Linked DNA regions of Tribolium castaneum. The protein of the gene in region 1 interacts with the protein of each later gene in a biochemical or structural test. Links are inferred from orthologs where the notes say so. Each region holds a gene or a part of one and is shown in the gene's direction. Other genes may lie near its edges. The genes, in order: Uba1, ubiquitin-conjugating enzyme E2 W, ubiquitin-conjugating enzyme E2 J1 and UbcE2H.

Region 1 (5,359 bases):
ACAAATTTTGTGATTTGAGCGACTGTATTAACTTGCTAGTGCAAAAAGTTAGCTTTTTAACATGAGGTTGTAATTCAGCACTTTCGACTCGAATAGTCCCGAAAGAGAACGCCAACTGGCAGGTAGGCGGTTTTCTGTGGCAAAACCGGACGAAAATGAGCCGTCAATGAATGGAGCACGACGCAAATTAGAGAAGAATTCACATATTTTTGGAAGCGTTATTTCCTTAACGGATGAAGAAGACATTTAATTAATATAGCTCGAGTGATACTGTAGCAATACATAATCTTATTTTAGTACGTTCTCCCATATTGTACCAATAGTTAATTTGAAGACACACTGTAGAATTAAACACTTGGAATATTCAAATTGTTACTATTAAAACAAGGTACAAATATACATTATTTTACTAGAAAATTGTGTTTATTTATCCTAAAATGGTGATTGGTGAAGGTTTCACAAAAATGAGGTAAGTATATCTTACACTGATATTATAGCTTCAGAAAATGTGAATTCTTCTCTTGACACAATTTTAATTGATCATTTTGAATGCAAACGAAATTTGTTATCGACTGACAAAGTAATAGCCATTGTGTTGAAAAAATTGATTAGATTAAACGCATAAATCACTTTATTCATCTAGTCTATTTCATGATTATCCTAAATCTTATCAAACAGTGGGAACTAATTTAATTTTAAAGTGGTGTTGATCGCTGGAAATTATTCCACTCGTGTGAATTTGGTAAGAATTAATTATTGTTGCCCTAATTAGGTACATTAGAAAAACAAATTCTAACAAGTAGTGCAAACAGTAAATTATGTTACCTTGTCACATCGATATAGAGCAAAATGATCATTTTCGTGGTGTTGTCCTTTCTTACAGGAATTTTCGTATGGTTTGTGGGAAAATTATTTTCGAGTAAATCGCTGTAAGTACTTTGTATATTTATTTAGATAAATTTAAGATGTTAAAGTTTACAACTCACACAAAAAAACATTCTAAAAATGAGCCATTGGTTAATTTTCTATTGTAATGCTATTGACAAATTTCGGGCCCACAAAACCATCACAAAAATAAACAATATTTTTGACTTACGTCATACTTGATACCTCAAAAAGGAGAGTGATCTTAAAAATATCTAATTATTGTCATTCAAAACGTGTTCAGGCATAAAATAATGCAAATGTTGCTCATATTTAATCAAAAACCTAGCAGATTAGTCACAAATGTTTATCACTTATCGCAGTTTTCCAGAACGTAGGTATGATTTATAAGTAATTATTAATTGTTATTAGCGAGTGCGGTGACATTATTTAACGATGCAAAATACAAAAAAAAAAAAACGTAAAGAAAGTATTGACCTTCCAAGCTACTGAAATACAAAGTTGAATGATTAAGTGTACAAAAATCGCCCTCCAATTTTGTAAAAACTGCTGCGTGACGGTAATACTTGGAATAATTTTTAATTTTCACTCTTTTTGTACCGTAAAATGCTGCTATTAAGAGTGAAATTTGTTATTGGAATAATTTAAAAAAATATCATTTTCAAACATTTTGACAATGACAATTCGTCAATGCTACAAATCGAAATGCAGGTAATACAAAACTCCCTACATTTTCAATTTTATCGTTTTTTTATGGACACAATGAAGGCAAAATAAAAAACGCATATTTCAGGTGTTTTATAAGACTTATTATCGCAACCATTGGGGCACTCCTCATCGGCACTAATTTTAAATGTGTTAAACACCGCCAGTAATGAGTACAATGGCACCAACAAAACAAATTTAAAAATTGTCAATCATGGCCTACGACGATACGGCCCCAATTTTCCTCCACAACCTTTCAAAATTAACGTAACTGTCAAAACAGATGTTAAAATGTTAAACAGTGTGCAGTCACTTGGGTCGTTTCGGTGCCCCCATTGCTCTGCTTAACAATCAGTGTGAATCTTTCGCGACAATTTCCAATTTAGCGCGTAAGTTTGCAGAATTGTGGGAGTGCGTGAATCACGCATTCCGGCATGCGCATTCGGCCCGTGGTCTCTTTGTTCGTTCGTTGTGCGCCTTCAGCCAGCGTTGTGTCTAAATCCAAGTGAAAAAACCGGCCAATTGACATTGCTATATGGTTATCAGCGCGCAAATTCCTCGATTGACCCGCAACTAATCAAACTGTGTCCTTTCGTGTCCGATGTCTAGTGCTGAAATCGCCGAAGGCTCCGTCGATCCCCCAACTAAGAAGCGGAAGCTTGACTCGTGCCCGATTTCAACCGACATGGCGAACAACGGCGCTTCCGGATCGTCTCAGCAGGACATCGACGAGGGTCTGTACTCGCGCCAGCTCTACGTCCTGGGGCACGACGCCATGCGGCGCATGGCCTCCAGCGACGTGCTGGTCTCAGGCCTGGGCGGGCTCGGCGTCGAGGTGGCCAAGAACGTCATCCTCGGCGGGGTCAAGTCCGTCACGTTGCATGACGAAGCCGTTTGCAGCGTCGCCGACCTCTCGTCGCAGTTCTACTTCACCGAAGCCGACGTGGGCAAGAACAGGGCCGAGGTCTGCTGCAAGCAGCTGGCGGAGCTCAACACCTACGTCCCCACGAAGGCCTACACGGGCCCCCTGACGCCGGACTTCATCCGCAAGTTCCGAGTCGTTGTCCTGACCAATAGTTGTCTCGCTGAGCAGATGCAAATCAGCGAAATCACACATGCCAGTAACATTGCGCTCATTGTGGCCGATACGAGGGGGCTCTTTGCCCAAGTGTTCTGTGATTTCGGGGATGCTTTCACGGTCGTTGACACCAACGGGGAGTCGCCGGTCTCGGCGATGATCGCTGATATTTCCACCGATAAAGAAGGTGGGTACAAAGAACCTAATGGAAGGCATTGTTACACAATGACTAATCTTGACGTTGTACGTCGGGTTATATTGGCAATTATTGTGCAATCAACCTGATCATGTGGCTAAAATTAATCCGATGTTAGAAGTTTGCCTTTGTTTTCCTTGCGATGTGCGAAGGTATGGAGTGAAAATCCCCAAAGGGCACTATATCAGTACTCAAATACCGTATGGTCAAATAAATCTGTCATCCTAATAAATTAAACATAATTCGAGACTATTCATAAAACCTAAAGCCATTTATTGGCTTACCAAAGTAGCAGTCGAATGGCATTAAACTTTGTGTAAATGTTGAGAAAATGTTGTAAAAAACATGTGATTTTATTAAAAATAGATGCTGTACTATCCCTTTTTTCCTCCTGTAAACTACCACTTGTGTGGAGGGTAGGAGGTTGATATTTTGAAGGTGAGCTGTATATTTATTAAAAAAATCTTTAGGTTTGTTAGTTAAATACCGGGTCAAGAAATAACCCACTATTGACTCACCCTGTACTTCAAACAATATCTTACCTAATAGAACAACTTGGTAAGATCAGCTAAAGAAGCACTGCAATCACAAAACTTCTATAATTTTATCTTGATGCAACTTAAATGATCTCCAAGCATTCAGTATTCAACTATTTTATTAAATAAAATAGCTTAAAATAGAGATTTTTTATTTTATTTTTAAACGAAACTTTTTTAAATTCATATTCGATACAGTTCTGAGTAATAATGACACCATTTCATACTAAGATTTATTTAAATGTAAGTCGTCTGAAAACTAGATCAAATATTTTTGATTGCAACTAAGAAAATTTCAGAAATTGATATTGTTGTTAAAGCATAAATTACATTATTGAAGCCACATTTTTTATGGAAACCAAAAGAAAACTCTGTATTTTTTTATTCGAAAATTGGTTTAAACACTTTTCCTTTTCCCATTCTCAGTACAGTAAAGCTTTGTCAAATTTTAGTATCGTAATCTAAAAAGTCTTATTTTGTCAATTTTTTTATGCTGTTGAAAAATTATTATGTCTGTTTTTAATGACCCAAATGTATCAGGACAAATCCAATTTAAATGTTCAATCTTATTTTTATCGATAAAGTGGGTAACACAATGTTAACATGAAAAAAATTAAAAATCTGGGTCTGGGTTAACTGAATTACACATGACACTCGATTTTTTTTTGTAAAATTTGCCTTTTGAGTCAATTGACAGGCAATTACAGGGTAATTCCATTTTTTACGAGATATAGCTCTCCAAATGTTAGATTTTTCGATTAAGTTTTTGGCAGATCATTTTTTCTTGAATTTAGTTAGCAGGAATGACACTAATTGATGATTTACGTTCAAAACAATTAATCAAAGTAGCAAATTTGACAATAAATTCGCCAATATTGGGAACAGAGGCGCAACATTTAAAAGAGTGTCTCAGGAAAAATATTAAAAATTAAAAGTTAAATTATCAGAAAAAAAATCTAAATTAATTTTTAATGTTAGCGGAACGTCTTTGTGGGCTTTTATCATCAAAAATCAACTATTTGGCTATTATTAATTATTATTATCTATTAGGTATAATTTCTTTTCTCTCGATATGTGATATGTTATTCACATTTGGATTATTAATGATCAAGAAAATTAATAGAGTAGTGAAGCAGCTTACTCGTAATACAGTTTTTATTTGATTATATTGGTTTCTGTTTTATTTCATTGCAAAAGCAGCTATTTAATGATCATTGTTGTAACGTCTATAAACAATGGGTTAATGAATTCGTACTATTTTTAGCTTTTCTACAATTGAAAAAAGATGAAATTTGCTCAAAGACCTCTAAAATTAAATTCTTTCAAATCACTAATTTTCTGTTTTTATTACATGTCATCAAAATACGTATAACAAAAAATGCAAATCAATGTTTTGTATAAAGAGTAGGTATTTGTCTACGCAATTCAAAATAACCATAATTGTGTAAATAAAGTGGTCTGCGTTATAAACATTTATTTTCGTCCTAAGCTAAAAACAAATCGGACATTGAGACAGATACCTTAAAAAAATAAAAGATTAGAAAAATGTTGCATCATTTTTTTAGCGCAATTCTGTCGTGAATCTCACTATCGAGAATTTCAATTGATTTTAGATACGTGTAAGGTAAAGGTCATGCGAAACAACGATGCCGTGTAACAAAACTTCTGTCCTTAATAAACATCGATTTAATGTAATGGATATTGTGGTTATAATTTCAATGCCTAAGTCAATACCACATCACATAAGTTTATTGTCGCCAAGTTGAAGATGTAAAATAAATTTAGTTTCCACTGCCATTAAATGTCATACTTTTATAATTTAATGGTCGAAATATGTTTGAAAATGGTGTTTTTTTCAATGATGTTTTTTTTTCTCAAAGGCATTGTGACCTGCATTGACGACACCCGCCATGGCATGGAAGACGGCGACCACGTCACATTTTCCGAAGTCCAAGGAAT
Region 2 (4,519 bases), about 2.3 Mb from region 1:
GCGTTTCCTGCACAAATATCCCACTTCTTGATGGCAGTTGTGTGCAAATAAGCGTCCACATTGCCCAAGGCAACTTCCAAAGCTTTATAGCCAGCACCGGCGGCTTCAATTATGTCCACATTTTTCATTTTTTCACTCAAAACTTTCTTTATTTCACCGCTGTGCGACATTGAGATTATAATCTTTATATTTTCACTCTTGCTCCTCTAAAAGACAAATTTATAACCTGATCACCATGTGACAGTGTTGTATACCTACCGCATATTTTAAGTTTGAAGATTTTGCTTTGCCAACCCATGCCCAAAATGTGTGAGATTCAGTGTTAAAAGGTTTGTGAATGACACCAATAACAGGTTCTTCTTTTACAGCAACGCAAACCATTGTAGTCACATACTTGTACAATTTTCCTAACAAAGATTCACTTAACAAATGCTTAAAATGCAAGTATTTAGTACAGTACCAGTGTATTCATAAGTTGCATCTAGTGGATCAATCCATACAGAAATATCCCTAATTTCTTCCAAATGGTCATCTAAGCTCTTAGGAATGGTTACATGTCCCAAGTAATCGATTTCTCTGTCGTCACACTGGACCTTTTTCTCCTCTGAAATTATATGCAGGGTGGGATATGCATGTTTCAAAGTTTTCATAATAGCACAGTGTGACGAATAATCTGCAGTGGTGACCCTATCTTGCATTCCTTCTTTCGTCAACCCTTTGCTTTTTACTTGTAAATTGTCCTTGTTCGCAACCACTTCTTTGCCCCCATTTTCCGCTGCCTTAATTGCTACCTCCAAGAGCTGCTTTAAATTTATCTTAACGCTTGGAGGATCATTATTTGAACTTGTAGTAAACACGTAAATAAACAATATCAGCACAGCTCCCGATATTACACACAGCCCTGTCTTGTTTAGTCGGATAACACCCCCAAGATTCATTGTTATGCAGCCGATGAGTCTCTATCTACATCATTCGCTTTTTGTACTTATTTACTAAAATATTTTCAATTAATCAACCAATATCATTCAATACCACCGGTCTTACAGTTGAATAACAATTATCTTAAGACTATTTAGAAACAAACGTCATCGCATTTTTGCACCTTACAAATAATCAAAAAAACCTTCAACCACAATAATGGTGAAGTTAGTCACAAAATCACCAAACGCTAAACGTCATTTTCAAGGATAGGGCATAGGCATAGGCGTGCGAAATTTTTTTCATAATACAGATAATAACTGTGATAATAATAATAAAAGCACTACCACAAGCAGTACTATTTGCTTCCCAATTTAAATTTTACATTTGTTTTAGAAATCCACCGGGTGGTTATCAAATATTGTATAAAACAATCATAGCCAACTTACGTCAAATGTCGCTGCGCTCCATGGAGTTTTTGTTTAGGAAAAAAAATCTATGTTAAACTTAATCTCAGCGACACACTTTGAGCTAAGAAAACCCACCAAAAACTCTCAATTTGTGCTCCTTTTAATCAAAAAATGCTGTTGCAAAATTCTACTGTAAACTGAAATGAATATATATATTTGCTTTCCTGCTAATTCCGGTCAATAATTAAGTAAAAAACAACTTCTTAACACTCTGCAATTCAAGTACTACCGGACCAAATTTTACATTCAGTTCATTTTTATAAAAAAACATTTTGGTGGAAATTGGGTACTCTTGGCATTAACTTTTATATGAGTTGTCATAGTAAAATCTTAGTTAATTCCGCCACAATGTTTTTTATGAAAATGAACCAAAATTAGTTTTTTTTTAATAACGTTTTATTTTATATTTAGGATTAAGCCCTTATTAATAGACAACTATATTCGGTTCACTTTCATAAAAACCATTGTAGTAGAAATTTGGTACTCTTGGCATTAACTTTTATATGAGTTGTCAAACCGAAAATAGAAATATAACTTTTCTGTGACATAGCGGAAAATCAAATCAGTCAAATTGTGGTATTAAAAAAATTCGACACTTTTGATGAATCTTTTAAAAAAGCGTTCACCATAGGGCACTTGGGTCTTGGTTTTTCTATAGTAGTGTATACATAAGACAAATCGTTGAGGCTGGCAAAAAAATCCTCGATTTGTCCCCATGGTCTCTCCGCCACTGGCGGGAATGAATAATAGAATTATTTACTTTGGAACCATGGTTATCTGTCCATTGTTCGTGAATTGAGGAGCATTGGGGGACAGTAGGTAATTTGGTCGGTTGTTTTGAACGTCAAAAGTAAGTTTTTGGCTATTTATTTGAAGCTAAATTAAAGTCTGTTGATCTGTGTTCAGTTAAAATCTCACAATCTAATCTGTGGTATGATGAAAAGTTAATTCCAAAATGGCAGGGTTGTCGCCGTCTGAAGTAAGTAAATTGCATTGTTTTTCTAACCTCTTCACGAAATCTCTCAATTTAGAGAAGGTTGCAAAAGGAGCTCATGTCACTGATGAAAGAACCTCCACCAGGAGTTGAAGTCGACTTCGATCTGGCAGAGCAAAATTTATTGCAGTAAGTTAGCAATAAACTGCCAATAACAATGCTAAATACATGACTTCTAGTTGGATCATTAATATGGAAGGGGCTGCAGGTACATTGTACGAAGGAGAACGTTTTCAATTGCAGTTTAAATTTAGTAACAAATATCCCTTTGATTCACCAGAAGTATGGGATTTTTTGTTAGACTAGTATTGTGTTTATATTGTTTGCGTTCCAGGTGACGTTTGTAGGCAATAACATTCCAGTTCACCCGCATATTTACAGCAATGGACATATTTGCCTTTCCATATTAACAGATGATTGGTCTCCTGCACTGTCTGTTCAGTCTGTTTGTCTTTCAATTGTTTCTATGCTCAGTAGTTGTAAAGAAAAGGTGAGACCTTATTTAGTATTACAGTATTTTTAATCTTGTTTTACAGCAAAGACCTCCCGATAATGCTTTCTATGTAAAAACTTGCAATAAAAATCCAAAGAAGACAAAGTGGTGGTATCACGGTATTATCTCCTATAATGTAACCCACAATTCCTGATTATTTTATGTTTCAGATGATTCTGTATGAAACTATATAAATAACTTATGGTCTTGTGATTTTAATGATTCTGTTACGCTGGATGCTGTTAGTTTTAAATTTTTAATAGATGTTATTTATTATGACAAAGCTAATTATAAAATATCTTTAGAATTGGATTAACAGTTTTTACATAGTGCCTGTCCTCCAGATGTTGTGTTGTAATTAATTAAATATAAGAGTTAAAATTAATATTTTAAACCCGCCCTGGGCTGTTGCTTATTTCTTACCCGTGTACAAATTTTACGTCTATCAATTAACAAAATCAAAACCGAAAAATCTTTGTTTTAAAGGATTCCTTAATTATCGGACTCGTTTCTGATAAATAAATGAGAAAAAAAAATTAGGAGAAAATAAACGCAACCCAACATACACGCACCTAATTTTCGTTAGGTTGGTATTAAAGGCGTGGTCGGGGATTTACCCACATATGTGAAGACAATCACTTGACATTTATCAAAGCGCATTCGAAATAGTATGTTACGTGTCATGTGGGTGCAGCAAAATTAAATTTTCGATTTAAAGACGTATCTAAGCACGAACTCAGATACAAAATTTTGATGATGTACTAAAAGGCTCTTCTGGGTTACCTTTTGTTTTTGGTAGTAGCTGCGGTAGTGTTTTTTTTTGAAGTGAATATAAACCATAAAGGCTAAGAAGGTTTGAATAAAAGTACATTGGTTCAAATGCAATTTGGTAACACGTCATCGTCATTGTCTGGATAAAGTGTGTTGCAACGTGCAATATTAATTTTACCTTTGTCTTTGTCTTGATGAGCCTTGTACTTTGTTACTTAATTATTACCTGCTATTAATTTGGTATGAATCCCGAAAAACCAAAACCTGAAGTTCCAGCAGGGGCCGGAAGCAGTTGGAGAAATTCCACAGGTAAGAAAATGTGAACCAATATAAGTATTAAGTGAATCTTTTTATAAATCATAAAGACTATAAATGGGCACAATAAAAAAAGAGTTCCAATTACACTGTGTGAAAACAAATATTTTAATTTAGACGAAATAACTATACTAAATATTCCATCGCTTAATCGGATAACAATTTGCTGTGGTACCATTTAATAGGTATTTGTTAGAAAAAACTTTGGTAGGAATTTTATTACACCCTCGGACTCCACTATTTTAATAACTACGAGGTTGTGACTCTTGGTTATGTAACCTTCTGAGCTTTTGAATCCTCACCCGTAGTGCAATTTCCAGGCGCTTGTTTGTAATAAAATAATGTAGTACTATTGTTAATATTACTGCTACTATTTCTGTAAATTTATATTACTGCTTAAGAACAAAAGGACTTAAATCAATGTTTATTATTAGAATTCCCCTGGAGTCAGGCATCTGTTGTATACCTCAGACCTCTGCCAATGGAGTTATTTTGGTCTTTTGCTTTCGAGAATCCCTTCCTAAAGATTTTTTTCATGTCTTTTGTGCAAAATACATT
Region 3 (5,413 bases), about 21 Mb from region 1:
TTGAATTCTTCCAACATTAGCTGTAACTTTAAACTGGTATAGACTTATGGGCGTCTTCTCTCACACTGTTTTTCCAGATAAATTTGTAGCAGATTGTTTCAACTTTGTTGGCTTATTCACTTATTTCACTTATTGAAAATGGTGCGATGGTAGCTCAAGATACAAATTCTGGGACAATGCTTTAATTTTTTTATTGAAATCACGGATCGGTGTGTTTTTTTATCTAAAATTATTATAATTGCATCTCCGTCTATACACTAAATATAGACTTTTTGTTGGAACATTTTAATATCTAAACAAGAATGTTTGAACAGTTAACTCTTTTCCTGGCAGCAGTCATCCCTGCAGCAAAACTCTTTTTATTGAAATCACGGATTGGTATGATTTTTTTTAATCTGAAATTATTATAATTGCACCTCCGTCTACACCCTAAATATAGACTTTTTGTTGGAACATTTTAATATCTAAACAAGAATGTTTGAACAGTTAACTCTTTTCCTGGCTTCAGTCATCCCTGCAGCAAAACTTTTTTTAATAAAATTTACTTAAAATTAAAAACTTAAGCATATTTAATCTCGTGGAATTATTTTACTCTTCATAGCAAAAATTAAAAACATCCGCAACACTTTTACATATTTGTAAATTATTGAAAAAATGTCACACTGCAGCTCGATTTATTTAAGCTCCACTTACTTGTATATCTGTTAAGCCTACAGCTTTGTTAAGCGTAACTCATTAAAAGTTACTCATAACTTTATCATATTTTTCGAAAGTTTACCCGATTAAAAATGAAAGTAATGAACTAAAATCTGTTTTCTGCGATGATTACGAGAAACTGTGAGAGAGACAAAAAATGTTACTAAAAGTTTTCATAAAAACCGATGTTCTTTTGATTGCTATTAAAGACTATTCAAACCTTCGGTTATCGAATGCAAAAAAAAATCAAATTGGCGCCAATTTCTCAATTTCTGGAAGTTCGAACATTTTGAAAAAAATTATTACTTGAACTCAGAATGGTCGATTTGGTTTGTATACAAAACTTTAATTTGCAATTTTACATAATCTAATACAAAAAACTGACTACCACTTTTCGTAAGTTTGACCTAGAGAAAAATTTTGGCAATTTTCACATATTATACCGAGCAACTGTTAATGATTGTGACTTTTGTGGTCAAGTTGATAACGAATTTGTAAACTTATGACTGTCAGATGAAACAGCTCCATACAAAAAGCTAGCAGGGAGGCCAATAACTCAATGTTGCTAATACATTTTTTTGCCTCGATCATTAAAAGTCACAGTGACACCGAATTATGGTAGGAGATATCTTTTAGAAAAAAAATCCTCATACCAGATGGATCTAATCTGTTGTTTAGGGTTTTCCCCTAATTTTTTTCGATACCTATGGTTTGTTATACTATTTCTATCCAATAATTAAGTGAAAAACAAGTTACTAACACTCCGTGATTCAAGTAGTATCGGACCAAATTTTAATTTTTCCTTTAAAAAGTTTTATTTTTCGTTTTGATGAATCACAATATTTTGGATTAAGCGCCTATTAATAATCAACTACGAATATTTACATTTACCTGAGAAAAATTGTAAACCCTTCGTCTAGTGAATGTCTTCAAGCGACCAGAAACAAATCCACTATCAACACTAAATAATTAGTAGAACACAAACCAAAAACGATTATGAACACATAACAAACGTTTTTAAACGAAATTAATAATAAATCTTTAGCACAACACGTTTTTACTTCGGATTTGACAACACCACAGAACATGACAGGTGCAAAATCGGCGGGGAATTACTGTAGTGCTGAAATACTACCAACCTAACAGTACCTAGGCACTAAACACCCAGATCTAAGTGATTTTATTACAGTCGCAGGCCTCGTAAAATTACGTGAAACACCTTGTATTTGCAATTGGGTGATTTTGTTTAGTTCACTCTATAATCTGTATATCTAAGCCAGCTCTAACGAAATATACAGAGTTGAAAGTGGTATTGTTTTTTCTAACCTCAATCATTTTAAACTACTGACGACTCACGTTAAATAAAACTGAAAAATAACCACTTATCTACAAATTACCTACCTTTTAAATTCCTGATAGACGTTTCACCAATCTCAACGAGCCACAACGTTTCTGCTGTTGAAAGTCCACGTTTGTAATTTGCAGAATCAGCTGATTGTTTTGACAGTTCGCCTAAACAAGAAACATGACAAGTTTTTGTACCCGTTTCGGCACTTCTTAAATATTTCTGTACAAAATTAGTGTTGTCTTTATCCTTACTTTTAGTACAAACGTTCAGTTTATTAGTGATTGAGACCTACCAAAGCATGTCGTTAGAAAATAAGTATAACCTAAAAAGCCCAGGTAAGAAATCGGATATTTAAGTGATTCTCGACAAATTTCCAATGTAAACAGGGGTGAAACGTCTCATGCGCGAAGCGCGAGAACTGGCCGAACCCACAGAAGAATATTTCGCCCATCCGTTGGAAGACAACTTGTTTGAATGGCATTTCACAGTGCGAGGCCCCCCTAGCACGGAGTTTGAGGGCGGTTTCTACCACGGACGTATTCTTTTACCCTCACAGTATCCCATGCAGCCCCCCAATATTATTTTGTTAACAGTGAGTCAATTTTGTAATAATTGTTCATTGTTATTTCATTCTGCAAACTCGTAGCCAAATGGGCGCTTCGAGGTGAACAAAAAAATTTGCTTGTCTATCTCTGGACATCACCCGGAGAGCTGGCAACCGTCGTGGTCGATAAGAACAGCCTTGTTGGCTTTAATTGCTTTCATGCCGACTCCTGCAGCCGGCACGATTGGTTCCTTGGACTACACCCCAGAAGAAAGACAGATTTTAGCAAAGAAATCCATCAATTGGGAGTGTCAAATTTGCGGTAAAATTGCAGAGACGCTTTCTTCGCAGTCAAAATCGTCAAATATTACTCAGGAAGAGGCTTCCCTTATCCAGCAGATTGCTCTCAAGGTGAGTAAATAATTTTTTTAATTGAAGACTTTTTCGCAAAAGAAAACGCGAGTATTTATATTTTTTTAAATCTGTAAACTATATTTAAAAAAATAGGCTTTTGGGATTTAAAAACTATTTTTTAATCGTACTGAAAAATCTGCAAATAATTTCAAAAGACTTATAGTTTTTACCAGCGAATAGGGATGGTTTTTACCATGTTTTTATGTTTTTGTGTGTTTCAACATGTTTTTCAGTCCGAAACGCAGTTCTTTCGCGTAATATCTAAAAAGTAATTTGCTATCAAAACCACATGTTTATGTGTCATTTCTGTTGTTTTAAGGTATTTTCTTATCAACAATTTAACATTTTTAAGGACATATTTTTGTTATATGGTATACGAGTGGTGTAAATCTTATTTTAACGAAAGGTACGTTATTTCTGAACAATTTTTATATCTCATAATTTTTTGTATCAGCATTGGTTTTTGAGTACAAAAATAATTTAAGTAATTTCTAAGGTTGCCATCTAATACAAAGACTGACCCAAAAGTAGCGTACAAAATTTATATCTTTGTTATGTCATTAAAAAAAAAACAGGTCGATTTAATTTTTTTAAATGCTACATTTTGATTATATTATATTTATGATGTCATTCGTTTTTGAGTTGTGACATAATTCTTAATTTTTTTTTAATGACAACTGACATTTTTGTTCACTGTTTTAGAAAGTAAAGATGTGCTTTTTCTAAAACAGTAAACAAAAATGTCAGTTATAATCTAGCTGATAATAAAAAACAAAATTAAAAATTAAACATAATGAGCTTTATTTCTTTGTTCTCGATTTATTTTATAAGCGGCAATTGTTTTTTATATTTTTTTATAATTATCATGAAAATACTTAAGAACTAATAGGAAGACTTTACACAAAAAAATAAGAATAATAAGAACGAGAAGATAAAGCTTTTTGTGTAATACTCTCACTAACTTTTATAACTTTTTTATTTTATTTTCTTCTTTCTTTTTAATTGTTTTATACTTATCAGAAAGATAGAAATGTATACTATCTAAAACACCAATCAAAAATATCAGTTGTCATTTAAAAAAATTAAAAATGACGTCGTTACTCAAAAAAGAATGATGTCAGAAATATCAATATGATGTCAAAATGTAGCATTTAAAGAAATAAAAACGCGTGTTTGAGGATTTTTTTGAAAAATGATTCAAAACAAAGATACGATTTTTATGCATGACTTTTGGTTCAGTCTTTATTTTTCTTTCTCTTAAATTTTTTTATACTTACCAGGAAGTCAGAAATATATTACCTATAAAAAACTATAAAAACACCAAAATCGTATTTTCTCTCAAAATTAGCTATTATAAATTATTCAATTACTTTATGAGAGATCTAAGCATTCATAACTATTCTAAATTAAATTGGACGTGTTGGGGGATTTTTTTGAAAAATGATACGGTTTTGCATTACTTATGTTTTAGCTTCTTTATGTAAGTTTATGTTAATTATTTATTTATGTTTATGTTTATTATGTAAATAATTAATTAGTTATTAATTTAAACAAAAAAAGGCATTTTCCACACAGTTGTGAAGTGGTTGTGAACTTATCTAAAACAACTAATTAATGTCTACACTGTTGTTTTGGAAAATTAATAAGATATATTAGATTTTATAAGACACAGAAATTGTTCAAAAATAATGGATCTTTCAAATAAAAAAATGGGTATAAAAGAATGAACATATAAGAAAAATATGGCTTCAGATATATAAAATTGGTTATAAGTAAGTACTTTACAATAGTAAACAAATGAAATATCACGCAAGTTACGTGTATCAAATTTCATTTAAAAAAGTAAGTTGTGAAGAAAAACCAAAATAATTTTTGAACTTTTAAACAGTGTAACTTTGGTTAAATCGCTTTATTTTGATTTTTGACCTGCGGAGTCTCTCGTTCCTTTTTGTCATCTTTTCGTTACACCCTGTATTATTCTTGATTGTTTTATTGACTGGGCAAAGAGGTTATAGACATGTGATTCTATTTTCAACAAGAATACGGTTCTAGATCTCTATTTAAAATATCATACTCGTAACTACTCATAACTGAACAAAATTGTAAAATTCCGTTATTTCAAGGCGGAGGAAGATGCAAACCGCAAAGAAAAATCTGCAGATAAAAAAGAAGATTCTGATGAGACTAATGTTAGACAGAGAGTAACAATAAACACCCCAAGTGCTGAAACTATAAATGAACCGATTACGGATGTTATAATGGAAACGGAAGTTTCAATTAATCCAAGTACTGTGTAAGTATTAGCATAAAAACCATGTAATGTTTGTTTGTAATTATTGTAACACTTTTAGAGATCAAGTATTCAATGTCGTTGTGTGGGTCATCGTATTTGTGATAGTTCTCCTTATAGG
Region 4 (4,455 bases), on another chromosome or scaffold:
AAATACGATTTTAGCCGCTATTATTGGAATTGCCGTCGCGATTTATATTTCCGTGTCTGAGTATGTTCTCAATTCCCCACCAATTCCAAAAACCGACGATTTAGCCGAACAGTTACTGCACTCACAATAGATCGTTTCGTTTAATGTGATTTTGTTACCGTTTTGATCATTAGGTGGTAAATGTACCAAATTTTTGAAGTACGATGTTAGTCAAGAAATCTTCCGTTCGTAGGTTTAAGTTACTGTTTGTATATACTGACTGATTGTTGATTGCATAGATTTATTTATTTTTCGGTTTAGTGGTGTGATAGGCAATTTATCAAAATTGTAAGACAAGTTTTGTACTTTTCAATAAAGGTATTGCCAGAACAACTGGTTTTTATTTCGAAACTTATATCCATTACCGTCTAACTAATTTCTCCAGCAAGAACCACGTGGAAGTTTAGAGCATTCTTGCCAGGAAAAAAGGAAGTAAGGATGAGGTAAACAATGATTATTACAAAATAAAGGGATAAAGGAATTATTGGTTTGTGAAATGAAAAAATACAACACAAAAATCGTTTTTTTTTCACTTAGCGTTAAATAAAATGCACTCACCTTTGATATGACATTTGCTTATGCTACTGTTTGTAGCAAGGCATTAAAAATAAATTAAAAACAAAAACAATAAAAAAATAATTTATTTGCATGAGAGCTACAACAAGCTGTTATAAATATTATACAAAATAAAGAATATACAATACGGTATAATATATAAATAAAAAAAGCACCTACCTTCATATGGTTTCTGCGTTGGCTAATGTTTGTAGCAAAACATAAAAAAAAATAAAACAACACCGTTGAAAAATCTTTATTTGTATGGAAGTTACAACAAGCGACTATTATCAATATTATACAAAATAAAGAATACACAATACGTTATAATATATAGCAATTAAACTATTAAATTCAACACCTCACAAGATAAATAGAAAAAAATACACCTACCTTCATTTGGCTACTGTTTGTAGCAAGACATTAAAAGATAAAATAAAAACAGCACCATTAAAAAACTTTATTTGCATTAAAGTTACAGCAAGGGACTCATAAATTGAAATTAAAGACAAAGTCACTGAAACTATCACTTTTCAACACCTCATTTAAAAAATTAATATGCACTTCCGCTACAGTTTGTAGCAAAATAATAAAAATAAATTGAATGGGGATGAAAGATTTAGACAGTGATTTGAGTTTTTGGCAGTTTTTTTTTTAATTGATGGTTTCTTTTCGTAATTCGGCTAGTTTTAATAGTAAAATATAATATTAAAAACAGCTTCGAAAACCACAAATGTGCCTATGTGTCCTTTGACATATCACTAAATTGTTATTTGTTATTCGTTACTGTGTTACAAATAAAAAAATATTTACAACAAAAACAAATAAACAACGGTATCAAGAACAAATTGCATGAATAACGTCAGATAACAAGCGTACCTGCTATCTTGAAATTGGCAAGTCTTAGCGACCATTTATGGTAGAAAAAAGTGAAAAAGCTGATTACGAGTGCCAGATTTATTTTTGGTTTATTTGTGTAATTGGCAATTTATCAAAATTGTGCGGTTTTCGTATTTTAATAAAGCCGAGATGGTTGCAAACAACCGCTCAATAATGTTTTAGCGATTTCAGTTGAGTGGTCATTAATGGTAAAAAGTGGAAAATCTGAAACGCAAAGTCACGATCGAGATGAGCGCAGACTCATAAACCGCCCCCGTTATAATTTATGCCACCTCATTTAAATTTCCAATTAAGAGGAATTAATCTCGGTAAACAATTTGGAATTGTGTCGAAAATTGTGCGATGTTATGAATAATTTAAAGCACGCGTGAGTGATTGAAAAAATGCGAGATAATTAGCGTAATCGCCACAATAGAATCTGGCGGTGATCGGCAAAGAGTCGCTGTGTGTTTGGGATTGAAAGTGGAGAATTGTGCGTAATTTGGAGAAATTTGTTCGTCCTTTTGTTCGAATAACATTTTTCCCCCCCAAATCTGTGGAGTCATGCGCAAGAGGGAGGCAGTAGGGAGTTTGTTGTCAAACGTGAAGGTTCACGAAAAACGTATGTGGATTGGTGGAATTCCTGTTGGGTTTTCGCCACGGCCATTGTGTGTCGAAGTGGTTACGTCTCAAGTGAAAGAGCAATTTCGTCGGAGTTTGGATTCATGGTAATATTTTTATGACAACAGAACCATGTCGTCTCCAAGTGCAGGAAAACGACGTATGGACACAGATGTTATTAAACTGTATCCTTTCTTTGTGTGCGATCCAAATGTAAACAACAACATTATCCTTTGTATCAGCTGATTGGGAAATTACACGTTATGTGACTCGTTAATAGGGCCATTTATTTTTTGGGTGCGTACTCCAATAGGCGAATACGTGTGCTATTTTTATCTATGAACAACCTTAAGATTCCTGACAATGTGTTATTGTCTTGTTTTTTAATCCTTAACACTGACTAGAATTGAAAGCAAACACGAAGTCACGATACTTGGCGGCTTGAACGAATTCTGTGTCAAATTTTACGGCCCCAGGGGCAGTAAGTCCTTCGGTTGCCCCATTTTACATTATTTTCATTGATGATTTCCAGCTCCGTATGAAGGGGGAGTGTGGAAAGTCCGTGTTCATTTACCTGAGCATTACCCTTTCAAATCACCTAGTATAGGCTTTATGAATAGAGTGTACCATCCAAATATAGACGAAATCTCAGGGACTGTCTGCTTAGATGTGATCAATCAGGCCTGGACAGCCCTTTATGGTATATCCTCGCCACTGCGAGATTTATTTCATTCCCGAGATTATTTTCCAGATCTTTCAAACATTTTTGAATCATTTCTTCCACAGCTGCTAACTTACCCGAACCCCATTGACCCGTTAAATGGGGACGCAGCAGCAATGTATTTACATAAACCCGAAGAGTATAAGAAGAAAGTCTCTGGTAACTGTTGACAAAAAAGCGATTGTGGTGTTAAGTTGTGATTTTTTAGAGTATGTACGTAAGTATGCAACTGAGGAGGCTTTAAGGGGGCAGGAGAACGTGAGTTCAGATAGCGAATCAACCATGTCAGATTTTTCAGAAAATGAAGCTGAAGACATGGAATTATAACGCAGGCTGTCTACCATTAAAAGCTCGCTCAATCCTCTCTTTGCTATGAATAACAAATTCTTTTTAGTGTTACATGTGATGTGTATTAGGTTTGATTTAATTGTTTTGCATTTTTTAGAGTTTATTATGTTGCACGTATTGCGAATTGCTTAATTTTTTTCAGAGGAAATGTTTTTTTAGATTTACAAATTAGTTGTAGTAACATTAATATCTCATTAATTTGCCTTATTATGTTAATATTGTGATGATATGAGCGTAGCGACATATTTATTTTATAGATTTAGTCAGAAGTAGAGGAAATTTTCATTGTTGTACACGTCATTGAAAGATTTCTGTTTCAAATAACGCAGCTGGAAGACCAATTTATGACTTTTTGTGATGTGTACTATTTGTTGTATTTACATAATGTCACAAACATTTTGTACAGTATGTTTCCTCTACTAATTTAGTTAGTGCAATAGATATAAGTTGTTGTCACTTGTATTAACTTTCAAGTTACACACACCATTGATATCATTATGGTCTCATTGTATATACATTAATTGTCTTTAATTTAATAATATATTTTTAATAAATGTATCTTTGGCAACATTTTTTCTTGCACTGTCAAATAATAGTCAAACATTTGTTTTGATATTTTGTTTTTGTATCAAAACAAAAAATAACACTGTCCATACATGATCCACATCACGAAAATGTTTGTAATTTTGATTATTACTAAGATAATAAGTGTAGGTCATTTGGTAGCATTTAACAGTAATAAAGAACTAAATTTATTACGTACGAGTGTCATTCACCCCAGCTAATGTTTCCTAAAACATTTATTTTATGATATCCCAGTTAAGTCTGCAAAAAGTTATTGTTGCAACCCATCGTTATCTATATTCATTTCTTGCGCAATGAACTAAATCGTAAAGAATCATTTGGATAGGAAAAGTTACGTGGAATAATATTTTTGTAATAAAAAAATGCCTCCATGTGCCTAAAATCCTATGCGTTTTATTGGAAGGGTGTATTCCCTAAAGTTATCCCTTGACCTTTGTATTATTGGTTGCATACGCGTGAAACCGAACATAAAAATAAATACTTGGATCGAATTTCCAGTTCTTTAATAAAACAAAAACACTCCCCACAACAATTGTACATTAGTTAGAGTTTCTAATACCACTTATAGATAAAGTTTTTACAAATGCTAAGATAAAACTACTATGAATTAAACGTGATTACTTGATTACCGCTTCATTCAATCGTTCATTCATAATGTGCAGCAAAGAAATAAAAACAAAACTAAATAAATAAAATATAAAATAAAA

Evidence for each region.
Region 2: of the proteins of Uba1 (region 1) and ubiquitin-conjugating enzyme E2 W, one has a biochemical effect on the other in vitro, tested with the Homo sapiens proteins (5 studies listed by BioGRID, with this or other methods). The link is inferred for Tribolium castaneum from reciprocal best matches to the Homo sapiens genes UBA1 and UBE2W.
Region 3: the proteins of Uba1 (region 1) and ubiquitin-conjugating enzyme E2 J1 form a complex in vitro, tested with the Homo sapiens proteins (2 studies listed by BioGRID, with this or other methods). The link is inferred for Tribolium castaneum from reciprocal best matches to the Homo sapiens genes UBA1 and UBE2J1.
Region 4: of the proteins of Uba1 (region 1) and UbcE2H, one has a biochemical effect on the other in vitro, tested with the Homo sapiens proteins (3 studies listed by BioGRID, with this or other methods). The link is inferred for Tribolium castaneum from reciprocal best matches to the Homo sapiens genes UBA1 and UBE2H.

Annotation. Positions count from the first base shown.
Region 1 is NC_087394.1:32,756,679-32,762,037, forward strand, and holds the start of Uba1 (ubiquitin-like modifier-activating enzyme 1), read left to right. Parts: upstream 1-1,839; 5' UTR 1,840-2,191; coding exon 2,192-2,855; intron 2,856-5,280; coding exon 5,281-5,359. Other genes in the region: Klp54D (kinesin-like protein KIF12), read left to right, coding at 79-250. UniProt on the Homo sapiens protein: Catalyzes the first step in ubiquitin conjugation to mark cellular proteins for degradation through the ubiquitin-proteasome system.
Region 2 is NC_087394.1:30,472,687-30,477,205, forward strand, and holds ubiquitin-conjugating enzyme E2 W, read left to right. Parts: upstream 1-2,080; 5' UTR 2,081-2,238; intron 2,239-2,294; 5' UTR 2,295-2,343; coding exon 2,344-2,367; intron 2,368-2,419; coding exon 2,420-2,511; intron 2,512-2,561; coding exon 2,562-2,664; intron 2,665-2,716; coding exon 2,717-2,872; intron 2,873-2,918; coding exon 2,919-2,994; intron 2,995-3,045; coding exon 3,046-3,059; 3' UTR 3,060-3,260; downstream 3,261-4,519. Other genes in the region: putative inositol monophosphatase 3, read right to left, coding at 1-206, 259-407, 461-938; NFX1-type zinc finger-containing protein 1, read left to right, coding at 3,889-3,955. UniProt on the Homo sapiens protein: Accepts ubiquitin from the E1 complex and catalyzes its covalent attachment to other proteins.
Region 3 is NC_087394.1:12,100,731-12,106,143, forward strand, and holds the start of ubiquitin-conjugating enzyme E2 J1, read left to right. Parts: upstream 1-2,245; 5' UTR 2,246-2,342; coding exon 2,343-2,379; intron 2,380-2,430; coding exon 2,431-2,636; intron 2,637-2,690; coding exon 2,691-2,999; intron 3,000-5,125; coding exon 5,126-5,295; intron 5,296-5,353; coding exon 5,354-5,413. UniProt on the Homo sapiens protein: Catalyzes the covalent attachment of ubiquitin to other proteins. Functions in the selective degradation of misfolded membrane proteins from the endoplasmic reticulum (ERAD) and is essential for cells to recover from ER stress.
Region 4 is NC_087403.1:5,361,126-5,365,580, reverse strand, and holds UbcE2H (ubiquitin-conjugating enzyme E2 H), read left to right. Parts: upstream 1-2,081; 5' UTR 2,082-2,226; coding exon 2,227-2,279; intron 2,280-2,498; coding exon 2,499-2,575; intron 2,576-2,626; coding exon 2,627-2,794; intron 2,795-2,845; coding exon 2,846-2,974; intron 2,975-3,023; coding exon 3,024-3,142; 3' UTR 3,143-3,283; downstream 3,284-4,455. Other genes in the region: Creld (cysteine-rich with EGF-like domain protein 2), read left to right, coding at 1-130. UniProt on the Homo sapiens protein: Accepts ubiquitin from the E1 complex and catalyzes its covalent attachment to other proteins. E2 ubiquitin conjugating enzyme that transfers ubiquitin to MAEA, a core component of the CTLH E3 ubiquitin-protein ligase complex.